Ovis aries: one gene and its partners. The protein of the gene in region 2 binds, or shares a complex with, the protein of the main gene of each other region. Links are inferred from orthologs where the notes say so. Each region holds a gene or a part of one and is shown on either strand. Other genes may lie near its edges.

Region 1 (2,632 bases), on a different chromosome or scaffold from region 2:
CTCATGCTCCCTGCAGTGGAAGTGTGGAGTGCTAGCCACTGGCCCACCAGGGAATTCCCAAGATTTAGTCTTGATACGAGTTCAGCATGATAAATACAGTTTATTTGAGATATGAAAGATGTAGAGGCGATTGCAGAATAAAAAATAAAAACCTGTGATATAAGAGTTACATGGTCACTGCCCCTGTATGCTTTGAGTGAAATATTAAGGACAATGGCATGATGTCAGCCATCTTCAGCTCCTAAAAATGTTTTCCCCTCAGTAGGCCAGAGACAAGCCTTCCCTCAGGTCTCTTCTCCCAGAATCCCCATGAGGAGAGTGGCTTAAGAGCCGTTATTTAAGCTCCTTTTTTCCCTGTGCTTGCTCCCTTAAAGCCCCATACTAACATTTATTTTATCTTTTAATGTTTGTATGTTTTTGTTTGTTTAACATTTCTGCTCTTTACATATCCTAGGCTGTGGGGTTTTTTGTTTCGTTTTTCCTTTTTGCCTTGTTTAGTTGAGTGTGAACTACTGTGTCTGATACAGCATACCTATCTCTGTGACTCTTGCAGAAGCCAGTAAAAGCACTTCCTGTAAGTGGACTGTATTGGTTGGTTGTCTTCATGTGACGCAGGGCTTTTAATAAGGTTTTACACACTTCACTCCTGCTTCCTGGTATTTTCTTATTCCTGGGTATTACTTACTCTGCTTTCCTCTTCTTTCTCTTCTCTGTGTCACTTGTTACTTCTTTCTCATCCTGACTTTTATGTGAAAAGGCTCATCTTTTCTGAACATTATTATTTAGTCCTTTTCTGTGTGGAGATCTGATCACTGTAACAAATTTGAGTCTTTCAGCACAAATAACCTTCAAGTCTTTGAGCAGTTCTTACAATGTCACTCCCCCAAAAAAGAATTAAATGAATCTCCCTTCTTCCCCGCGCTGTATTCTTCATATGCTTTCGGATCCAAGGTTATTTATACATATGGTATCCAGAAAGTCATGGTTTTGTTACGTTCATTCCGATCTATAGAGATCAGTGTCTGTGCTTTGGAGAAAAGTTTATTCTGAATGGATCTTAGAGAAATAAGAATTTGTTAATTATGTAAATATAATGTCTTAAAGATCCACTTAAAATTGTTAATATAATTATGTAAACCTTAAATAAAGACATCAAATAAAAGATTCCACTTCTTAGGAGACTATCTGTATATAAAGTATTAAAATTAGGCTTTCCAAACATTTTGTTATTTTATGGAACTGTAATTCTCTAGAACAAAAGTATTTGGAGGAATGGGATTTTGATTATCAAAGTCAAAGCAACATTTCTTTTTGCTATTTCATAAAGGTTGCTGTTGAAGAAATCTGGCTGTAGAACACCACGGATTGAATTGGAAGAGATGGGACCCTCGTTGGATTTGGTTCTGAGGCGGACACACCTAGCATCAGATGACCTTTATAAATTATCTATGAAAATGCCCAAAGCCCTGAAGGTACATGACTTGCAGATTGGTGCCATGTTTATTTGTATATTCCTCTCTTCTTTCCAAAAAGGATTTGTAGCATATTACATTAAAGGACATATATAAACAGATCAATATAATAGATAAAATTAGACTTTCAGAGCCAAAGAAAGAAGGAAGAAGCAAATAAGCCAATCATAAAGGATAATAAAATTGTAGAAACCAAGCATCAAGTGTTGCTGAGTGCTTCCTGGTAGCCAAGACTGCCAGTTTTCAGCAAAAATAGGTCTCATTTTGGGCATTGTGAAAATGTAATTTCAAGCCTAGGATGTATAACCCATACTTCCATAAAATGTATTTTGACTTTTGAATGGTTTTAAAAAGCAAGTAGAAATGGCATCTCTGGAATGCCAGTAAATATTTGAAATGATAGTCATAATCCTTAAGCTAAACATAAGAACTTCTCTCAGTGCATGACAATGATTAGTTTCTTCGGTTGAAGTTGTTAAACAATAGTTGTTGTACACTAGATTTTTATCAGTTCATAATAGTAGACTCAACTGTTTTTTCATATATTACTATTTCATAGCCAAAGAAGAAGAAAAATATCTCTCATGATACTTTTGGTACAACTTATGGAAGAATTCATATGCAAAAGCAAGACCTAAGCAAACTACAAACCAGGAAAATGAAGGGGCTGAAGAAGCGACCTGCAGAAAGGAAAGCAGAAGAGGAGGAGAACAAATCAAAGAGAATTAAAAAGAATTGATGGAATTTAGCCAATAGCTGCATTTTTATTGTAGTTATGAAGCATCCATTGTTTCAGAGTTTCTTATAAGGTGTTATTATATATTTTTATAACGATAATTTACCTAAACTATATATATTATATACATTATGAACAGTAACATAGTAGTATTAGGTTGAAAGTTATACTCTTACTGGAGATATTATACCCAGGTATGCCATTTTCTTTCTGTGATGTGACATTACCCTCTGCCCACGCCCTACAATGTCCCCTGTCTCATTGGGTGGATAAGTGAGGAAGGATCCCCAGAACAACCAGTGGTATTTTAGAGAATTTTGAGTTAAGCCTTAAATAAAGGGAAGAAGTCATGGAAAGTGTAAATGTTCCAAAGTAACTGTATACATGCTCAGTGTGAGCTGCCTGGAAACGTGACCCCATCTCC
Region 2 (3,324 bases):
AGTAAGGATTTTGTAGGTTTCTTTCTCTCTTCCCCAAACAGATCCCACTTGAAGCTTAAAAAAAAAACACCTGGGATATAAATACTGATAAAGATTTAAGTATAAAATTAGGATTAGGACTTCCCTAGTGGTCCAGTGGCCAGGATTCCACACTCCCGATACAGGGGACCTGGGTTCAATCCCTAGTCTGGGAACTAGATCCCACATACTGCAACTAAGACCCAGCACAGCCAAATAAATAAACATTAAAAAAAAAAAAAAAAAAACTGAGATTGAGGATTATTACCATTATTTAGTGAAGTCCAAATTTATCATTTACAGCAAATTAATGTTTTCAGTGTTGAAAAGCATCAAATTTTGTTTTTGAAAGAGACACACTTTCAGTATTATATCTGACACCGAAAGCAGGATGAGTTTTTCTAATAAAAGTGGTCTTGCTGAAATCATAATGTAACTGCTATGTTTTCTAGAAAGTAAATGAAAATAATCTGTACCAGGTATCCAGGTCATTGGTTTTACTTAAAATGTAACCTTTCTGTTCCCACATGCTTTGATAAATACACAAACTTGTCATCAAAATAATGCAGAAACCAGCTGTTAAGTCTCTCCCTTAAACCCCATCCAAAGTTTAAAGAGAGGGAAAAAAAAGGCTGTTTAAAAGTAAAACTCATTCCTAGTTTTCACAGATTCTTTCCCTAATTCAGATGTTCTTAAATACAACCTTTAATCTCCAGCCAGAGTTTTGGTTGTGGGAAATACATTAATTTGTCCAGTCCAACATTTACATATCATCTTCAGAGGAGGGTAAACCTGGCCCTTTAACCTCAAGCTCAGTGAAGGCAGTGGCCAAATCTTGTGCATCTGGGTACTGTATCTAGAACTTAGCATTAAGTACAGTTCTTGGTTTAGGAGAAGGTCCAAGGATGAAATTTACTTCCTCCTCTTTCCTCCTTGGTGTTGCCCCCCTTTTCTCTTGCCACTCAGGCCGGGAGGTCCGGAATTCATCTTGCCTCCCAAACCCCCTTTCCTCTTCCCTCCTTGGCTGGGCGGGCCCCCCTTCCTCTTACCCCCGGGACCCTGTCGGGCCCCCTTTCTCTTGCCCTTCTGACTCATTTTCCTCCGCTTGGCCGCCTCCTCCTGGTCCTCCTCTCTCATCTGCTTATTGGTGGCCCTCGTAATGTCCAACTGAGGCTTTTTGCTGTTCATCACTCGCAGCATCTCCAACTGGCTCTTTCTCTCGGCCGCAAAGTCCCCGAAAAGAGGCTGAAACTTCCTCTTCTTGCCAGAGCCCCTGGGCGCCTTCTCCTTGGGCAGGCGCTCCTGGAAGCGCCCCACAGAGGCAGTGGAGACCTTGGCCACCTGCATGGCGCGGCCCAGCTCCTCCTTACTCTGGTGTCCAGTAGGGTGCATGCCGGCCGCGCTGGGCAGCTGCATCTTGTGCGCGCGGGCCAGGTTACGCAGCCGGTTCAGTTCGTTCTTGGCCACCCGTTCCTTCTTAGCCTGAATCCGCTTGGCGAACTGGTCCTCCATGGGGTCGGCATTGCCCGGCACCTCGATCAGCCACTCCTTGGTGTCGTCGCGGGCTCGCTGGTAGCCCCAGCGGCGGCGCCACTGGCCGCTCACCTCGTCCCACACCAGATTGGTTTTCTTCTTGGGACGGATGCCCTTGAGGCGCGCAAACTGCTGCCAGCGAGTAAGAGGCCGCGGCCTGGGCACCGGCTTCTCGCGCGGCAGACGAGTGCTGGGTTCCGGCAGCCGTGCCACCAGCGCCTCCTCCACGCGCTCGGTAGGCAGCTGCCACAGCTGGTTGATGAGCAGCTGCGTGTTGTCCCGCGCCAGGGCCCTCAGCTCGGCCTCCTGTGTGGGTCCCGCGTGCCGCAGCCCGGTCGGGGGGTTCCGGTCAGAGGCCAGCAAATTACCCAGGTCGAACTCCAGCTCCAATTCCTTCTGCACCGTGATGCGCTGTAGCTTCTCTGCCTCGTCCCGCTCCGCCTTTGCCAGCAGCTCCTCCACGCTCTGGCCCTCCATGGCTCCGGTTCGGCTCGCTACCTCTGGGAGACAGTTCTAGTCACGACTCCTCCTACAAGGGTTAAAGCCGCGGCACCCCAGACACGTGCGACTTCCCGGACGCTCGACCCGGAAGAGAAAGTTCCGCTTCCGGGGCACCCGGAAGGGGCTCAAGGAGCGGGCTACCCGAGGAACGGCCGGCAGAGGGCGGTGTTAGAGAGCAGATGAGATTAGAGGCAGCCTTTGGGGTGGAGCCCGGAGGTAGGCGGAGCCGAATCTACGAATTCCGAGGCCTGATTGGGACCTTGGCTCCCAGGATGCCCCTGCGGGAGGGGGTGGTCCTGTGCGAGCTGGGCAAGTTAGGGGGCCGCGGACTAAGCGGGCCCGGGAGCGACTGTTAGTTTTAGTGTGTGTAAAAGTCAGTTCTCAAGTTGTTTAGCCAGTCATTTTCACCAGAGCCTTGACACCTGTTCATGGTGTGCCCCCGGGTGTGGGCACTTCACCTGGGGATGTACAGAAAGCTAAGTGGAGACGGAGACTTTGTTTTCTTTGGGAGCGAGCGGGTCTGGCGGTTAGACCGCCCTGAAGGGGCGCGGCTGTGCCCCCATCCTGGCGACTTCAAGTCTGGTCTCCGGAGCCCAGGGCCACCTTCTCTCCTGGCTGATGGCAGAAGAGCGCGGGGCTCAGCTGTTAGACCGCCGGGGTTCCGACCTTGACCGCTCTGGTGTTTGACCTTCGGCTGTGTAACTTGTTTGTGCCTATTCTTAAACCTGTAAGATGGGGTTGCAAATATTACCTCCCAGGTCTGCCGTGAAGATAAATGAGTTAATATGCTCCCAAGGGAGCTTACACTGGAGTCTTGGGCATATGAGTGCTCAATAAATGTGAGCTAAATACCAGTAATTGTTTAATTCTCATCATGGCTCTGGGAACTCTGCTGAAAAGGCAGTCTTATACAGTGATTAAACACCAGGTTCTTGAATCAAGCTACCTAGAATAAGATCTGGGTTTCTTGTACCCACATTGGTCAGGTTGTTTAACTTAAGTCCTATTCATAAGTTGATGAATATGAATCATTAGTTCCTGGTACATTGTAAGCATTCAGTAAGTGTTGGCTACTGTTATTCACTATATTCCGCTGGTGACAGAAGCAGGCTCAGAGAAGTAAAATGACTTGTCTAAGGTTATACAGCCAGGAAGTATGGGAGCAGGAGAAGTCTAAACTCTGGCTCTAAAACTACATACATATTCTCTGCAATGTCTTCCAGACTCTTGATACTCAAAAAAGTGTGGTCTGTTGACCAGCAGTACAGCAGC
Region 3 (3,500 bases), on a different chromosome or scaffold from region 2:
TATACTTAACTGTACACTTAAAGATGCTTGCTGCTGCTGCTGCTGCTGCTGCGTCGCTTCAGTCATGTCCGACTCTGTGCGACCCCAGAGACAGCAGCCCACCAGGCTCCCCCGTCCCTGGGATTCTCCAGGCAAGAACACTGGAGTGGGTTGCCATTTCCTTCTCCAATGCATGAAAGTGAAAAGTGAAAGTGAAGTCGCTCAGTCGTGTCTGACTCTTAGCGAACCCATGGACTGCAGCCCACCAGGCTCCTCCATCCATGGGATTTTCCAGGCAAGAGTACTGGAGTGGGGTGCCGTTGCCTTCTCCGTAAAGATGTTTAAGAAATATCATAGAGCAATTATCCTCCAATTAAAAAAAAAAATGGTTAAGAAGCCAGGGAGCTCTCTGCTGGTCTAGCGGCTAGGATTTGGTGCTTTCACTGTGGAGGCCAGGTTCAATCCCTGGTTGGGAAACTAAAGATCCCGCAAGCAGAGCAGCGTAGCCAAAAAAAGAAAAACTTCAACAATGGTTAAGATGGTAAATTTTATTTTGTGCGTATTTTATCAATTTAGGGAAAATACAAAACATCTCTCAAGATAACTACCCTTGAAGCCCAAACAAAGGGCAAAAGGAAAATACACAGTAAGTTACCTACTACTTACACGCCATCAGATTATTTCTGTATTTAGAAATTCTGGGGAGAGGCACTGGGGGTGAAGATCTTATAGGAAAGTGAGTGGTCATGTCTTAGATGCCTGCAGTCAACTTCTGAACTCACTGCTTCAAAAATAAGAGGGGGTCCTGACAGCACAATTTCTCTATCAGACAACAGGAGCTATTAAATTGAAAACACGTCTAATCTTCTAAGGCTCTGAAATTATGCAGAATCGCTTGAATTAAAGGTTTCCATTTAAATATTAAAAATTTGAGAACAGACATAAGCACAGAAAGTCCTGATGTGGTGAAATGGGGGATTGATTGAATTTTGGCCTCTCCATTTCTGCCTGCTACAAGTTACTAAAATGCACACTATCGCAAGTGGTTAACTTTTACCTGCCACCAATGTCTTCAATAGAAGATACTCCATGGAATTGACAGGAGAAAGCATTGCTGATTCCAGCACATGCAATGCTGGGGTACTGAAAGATTTCAGTAGCTCTGGGTTATCTTCGGTCACCGTCTGCAAACAATATGCTATAGAGACAAAAATCAAATATTCAGAAACAAGTGAATTCCGCTAGGATAATTTAAACCAAAATGACTCATCAAAAAAACTTGCATCTTTACAACTTCTCTGGACACATTTTGTAGGAGACTCACCCTTTTCCTCAAACATAGTTTGTGCAAATGAGGCTTCCCAAATTATCAAAGTTATAAAAGACTTTTCTTTTTTCTTAACTTATAATCCTTTACAGAACTATACTTTTATAAATGAAAAGGCTCTCAATTGCCGTGACAACGTGGAATTACTATAAACATTTACAAAGATTTAGCTTCAATTTCTGTACTCGTCACAGACCAGTAGCAAACAGCCTGTAGGCTGAACACCAGTGCATGGAAAACTGTTGTCTATGACAAGTCCCAGGTTTGGAGACATTTAAAAAATTCTGCATGATCTTAAAAGTTAATTTATGATATAGCACATTAAATAAAAATGGTATTTTATATAAAAATGAGTAAATTAAGAGATAGGTAAAGTGTTAATAGACATAGGGTTCATTTAGCACTTAACTCTTCTCTCGCAATTAAAACAAGATCATGGATTATAACTTGTAAATTAGAAATAATTAACTGCAAGTATAAAACAACTGGGACTGCATGAAAAGCTTGACAGAAGAGACCTCTGACGCACAAATGAGGAAGCCCAAATTTATTTTCTTTGAGATACTGCATTCTATAAAATCCATTTCTATCCAGGTCTAAAAATTTCAAAGCAGATCATTTCCATCCAAATTAGTAGTCAAAATACATGTTATTATTGTGCTCTAGTCTGCATTCCAAAATACATTTATATATAAATCCATATGTATGCATATATGTATATATACATATATTCAAGTGTAATTTTTTTTCATTAAGAGACTAATTAAATTCACTTTAACAAAAAGCTAAGGTAAGTTGTGATTGCTAAGACAGCACGAGTCCAAAGAAAGCTATATTAATACATAGTATGGAATTTCAGTATTTCACTTTACTATATATAAGCTTTGCTTGATTTTCAAAACAGAAGCAATCTGACATTTGCCTTAAAAGAGTTATGAACCTAGCTAAGTGCCAAAGAAAATACTGCTATACACTGTAAAGTTACTTTATTCTGATCCCCTTTTTTAAAAGTTCTTTAGGAAAAAAAAGAAATAACCAAATCCACAAAACTTAAGGCCCAAAAAACAGAAGTGAAGTTTTTCTTTTCAAAGCTATGAACTTTCCTGAAACTCTTATTGTAATAAAGACTGTCCTCTGAGACTGAAAGTCACCTGCCAATTTTCTAGTTCAAGTGTTTTTAAAATCCACATTTACTCACAAGTCTCCCCTCTGCCAAATATCCCATTCTGAGAAACTGATTAAAAAATTTTTCCCAATAGTATTTATTCCACTATTATTTTTTCCTTCTCTGTTCTATTTCCACTAGAGCCAAGAGAAACATTGGTAAGGGGAATACACTTCAGTAAGGGGAATAAACTTGTCCTTGCCAGGAGAAATGTGTAGTTAAATAAAAGGACAGATGCCTATCGTTATGAAGGGTTGAATAAAAAACACTTCTTATCCATTATTTCTCCACTCACCCCCCGCGTTCTGTTGAAACAGAACCCACCCCCTGGTTTGTCTCCTCCCTCTGCTGAGTGAGGGCCCCCAGTGGCTTGTAACCCCACGCATAGAAAGCGAGGGAGCCAAGGCTGCTAACGCTGCCAGACTCTTGCCTTCCCTGTCTGGAAGGGAAGCAGGCCTATATGAAATTGCAATCACTTATCTTCCTCTCTCAAAAAGAGCAGAGGTTATCGTCTACATTCCAATTAACTTTGGCTCAAGGCCTGGCAGTTGTGGGTTACTGCTTCTCTGTAAATGGGAGATGAAAACTTTCAAGAGTTAATAAAAACTTCCAAGAATGTTCAGGCATTAGAAACCACATATGCTCACATAATCCTTTTCCTCCCTCTTAGAGACAAGAGCAGGAAAACTGCATGAGTAAGTAAAGAATTAATCACACATTTTAAAAGATTCAGAATAGAACTCAGTGATGCATTTATATACAATGAGAAAAAAAATCACTGCCATAGAATAAATAAGTTATGTCTGAATAAAAAATTTTGAATAAGGGCACACAAACTTTTCTTTACTTACCTACTGAAATAGCCAGGTCAACATTGGTGGAAAACCTACTTAAATACTTTAATACAATCTCCAAACACCCTTCTTTGTTGAATATAGATACTGCTCTACTACTGCATTCACTAAATCGAAGGGGGAAAAAAAAGTTTTACTATTCACATTTTAACATTAAAAAATCAACCACAGAAAT

What was found. Proteins that work in one complex are often made in the same cells at the same time.
Region 1: RRS1 (region 2) and RPF2 share a complex: the UniProt entries of both Homo sapiens proteins name them as parts of the hexameric 5S RNP precursor complex. The link is inferred for Ovis aries from reciprocal best matches to the Homo sapiens genes RRS1 and RPF2.
Region 3: RRS1 (region 2) and HEATR3 share a complex: the UniProt entries of both Homo sapiens proteins name them as parts of the hexameric 5S RNP precursor complex. The link is inferred for Ovis aries from reciprocal best matches to the Homo sapiens genes RRS1 and HEATR3.

The regions. Positions count from the first base shown.
Region 1 is NC_056061.1:26,646,697-26,649,328, reverse strand, and holds part of RPF2 (ribosome production factor 2 homolog), read left to right. Parts: intron 1-1,327; coding exon 1,328-1,472; intron 1,473-2,031; coding exon 2,032-2,211; 3' UTR 2,212-2,632. UniProt on the Homo sapiens protein: Involved in ribosomal large subunit assembly. May regulate the localization of the 5S RNP/5S ribonucleoprotein particle to the nucleolus.
Region 2 is NC_056062.1:43,655,164-43,658,487, reverse strand, and holds RRS1 (ribosome biogenesis regulatory protein homolog), read right to left. Parts: upstream 2,146-3,324; 5' UTR 2,029-2,145; coding exon 931-2,028; 3' UTR 501-930; downstream 1-500. UniProt on the Homo sapiens protein: Involved in ribosomal large subunit assembly. May regulate the localization of the 5S RNP/5S ribonucleoprotein particle to the nucleolus.
Region 3 is NC_056067.1:18,022,502-18,026,001, reverse strand, and holds part of HEATR3 (HEAT repeat-containing protein 3), read right to left. Parts: intron 3,433-3,500; coding exon 3,323-3,432; intron 1,178-3,322; coding exon 1,037-1,177; intron 1-1,036. UniProt on the Homo sapiens protein: Plays a role in ribosome biogenesis and in nuclear import of the 60S ribosomal protein L5/large ribosomal subunit protein uL18 (RPL5). Required for proper erythrocyte maturation.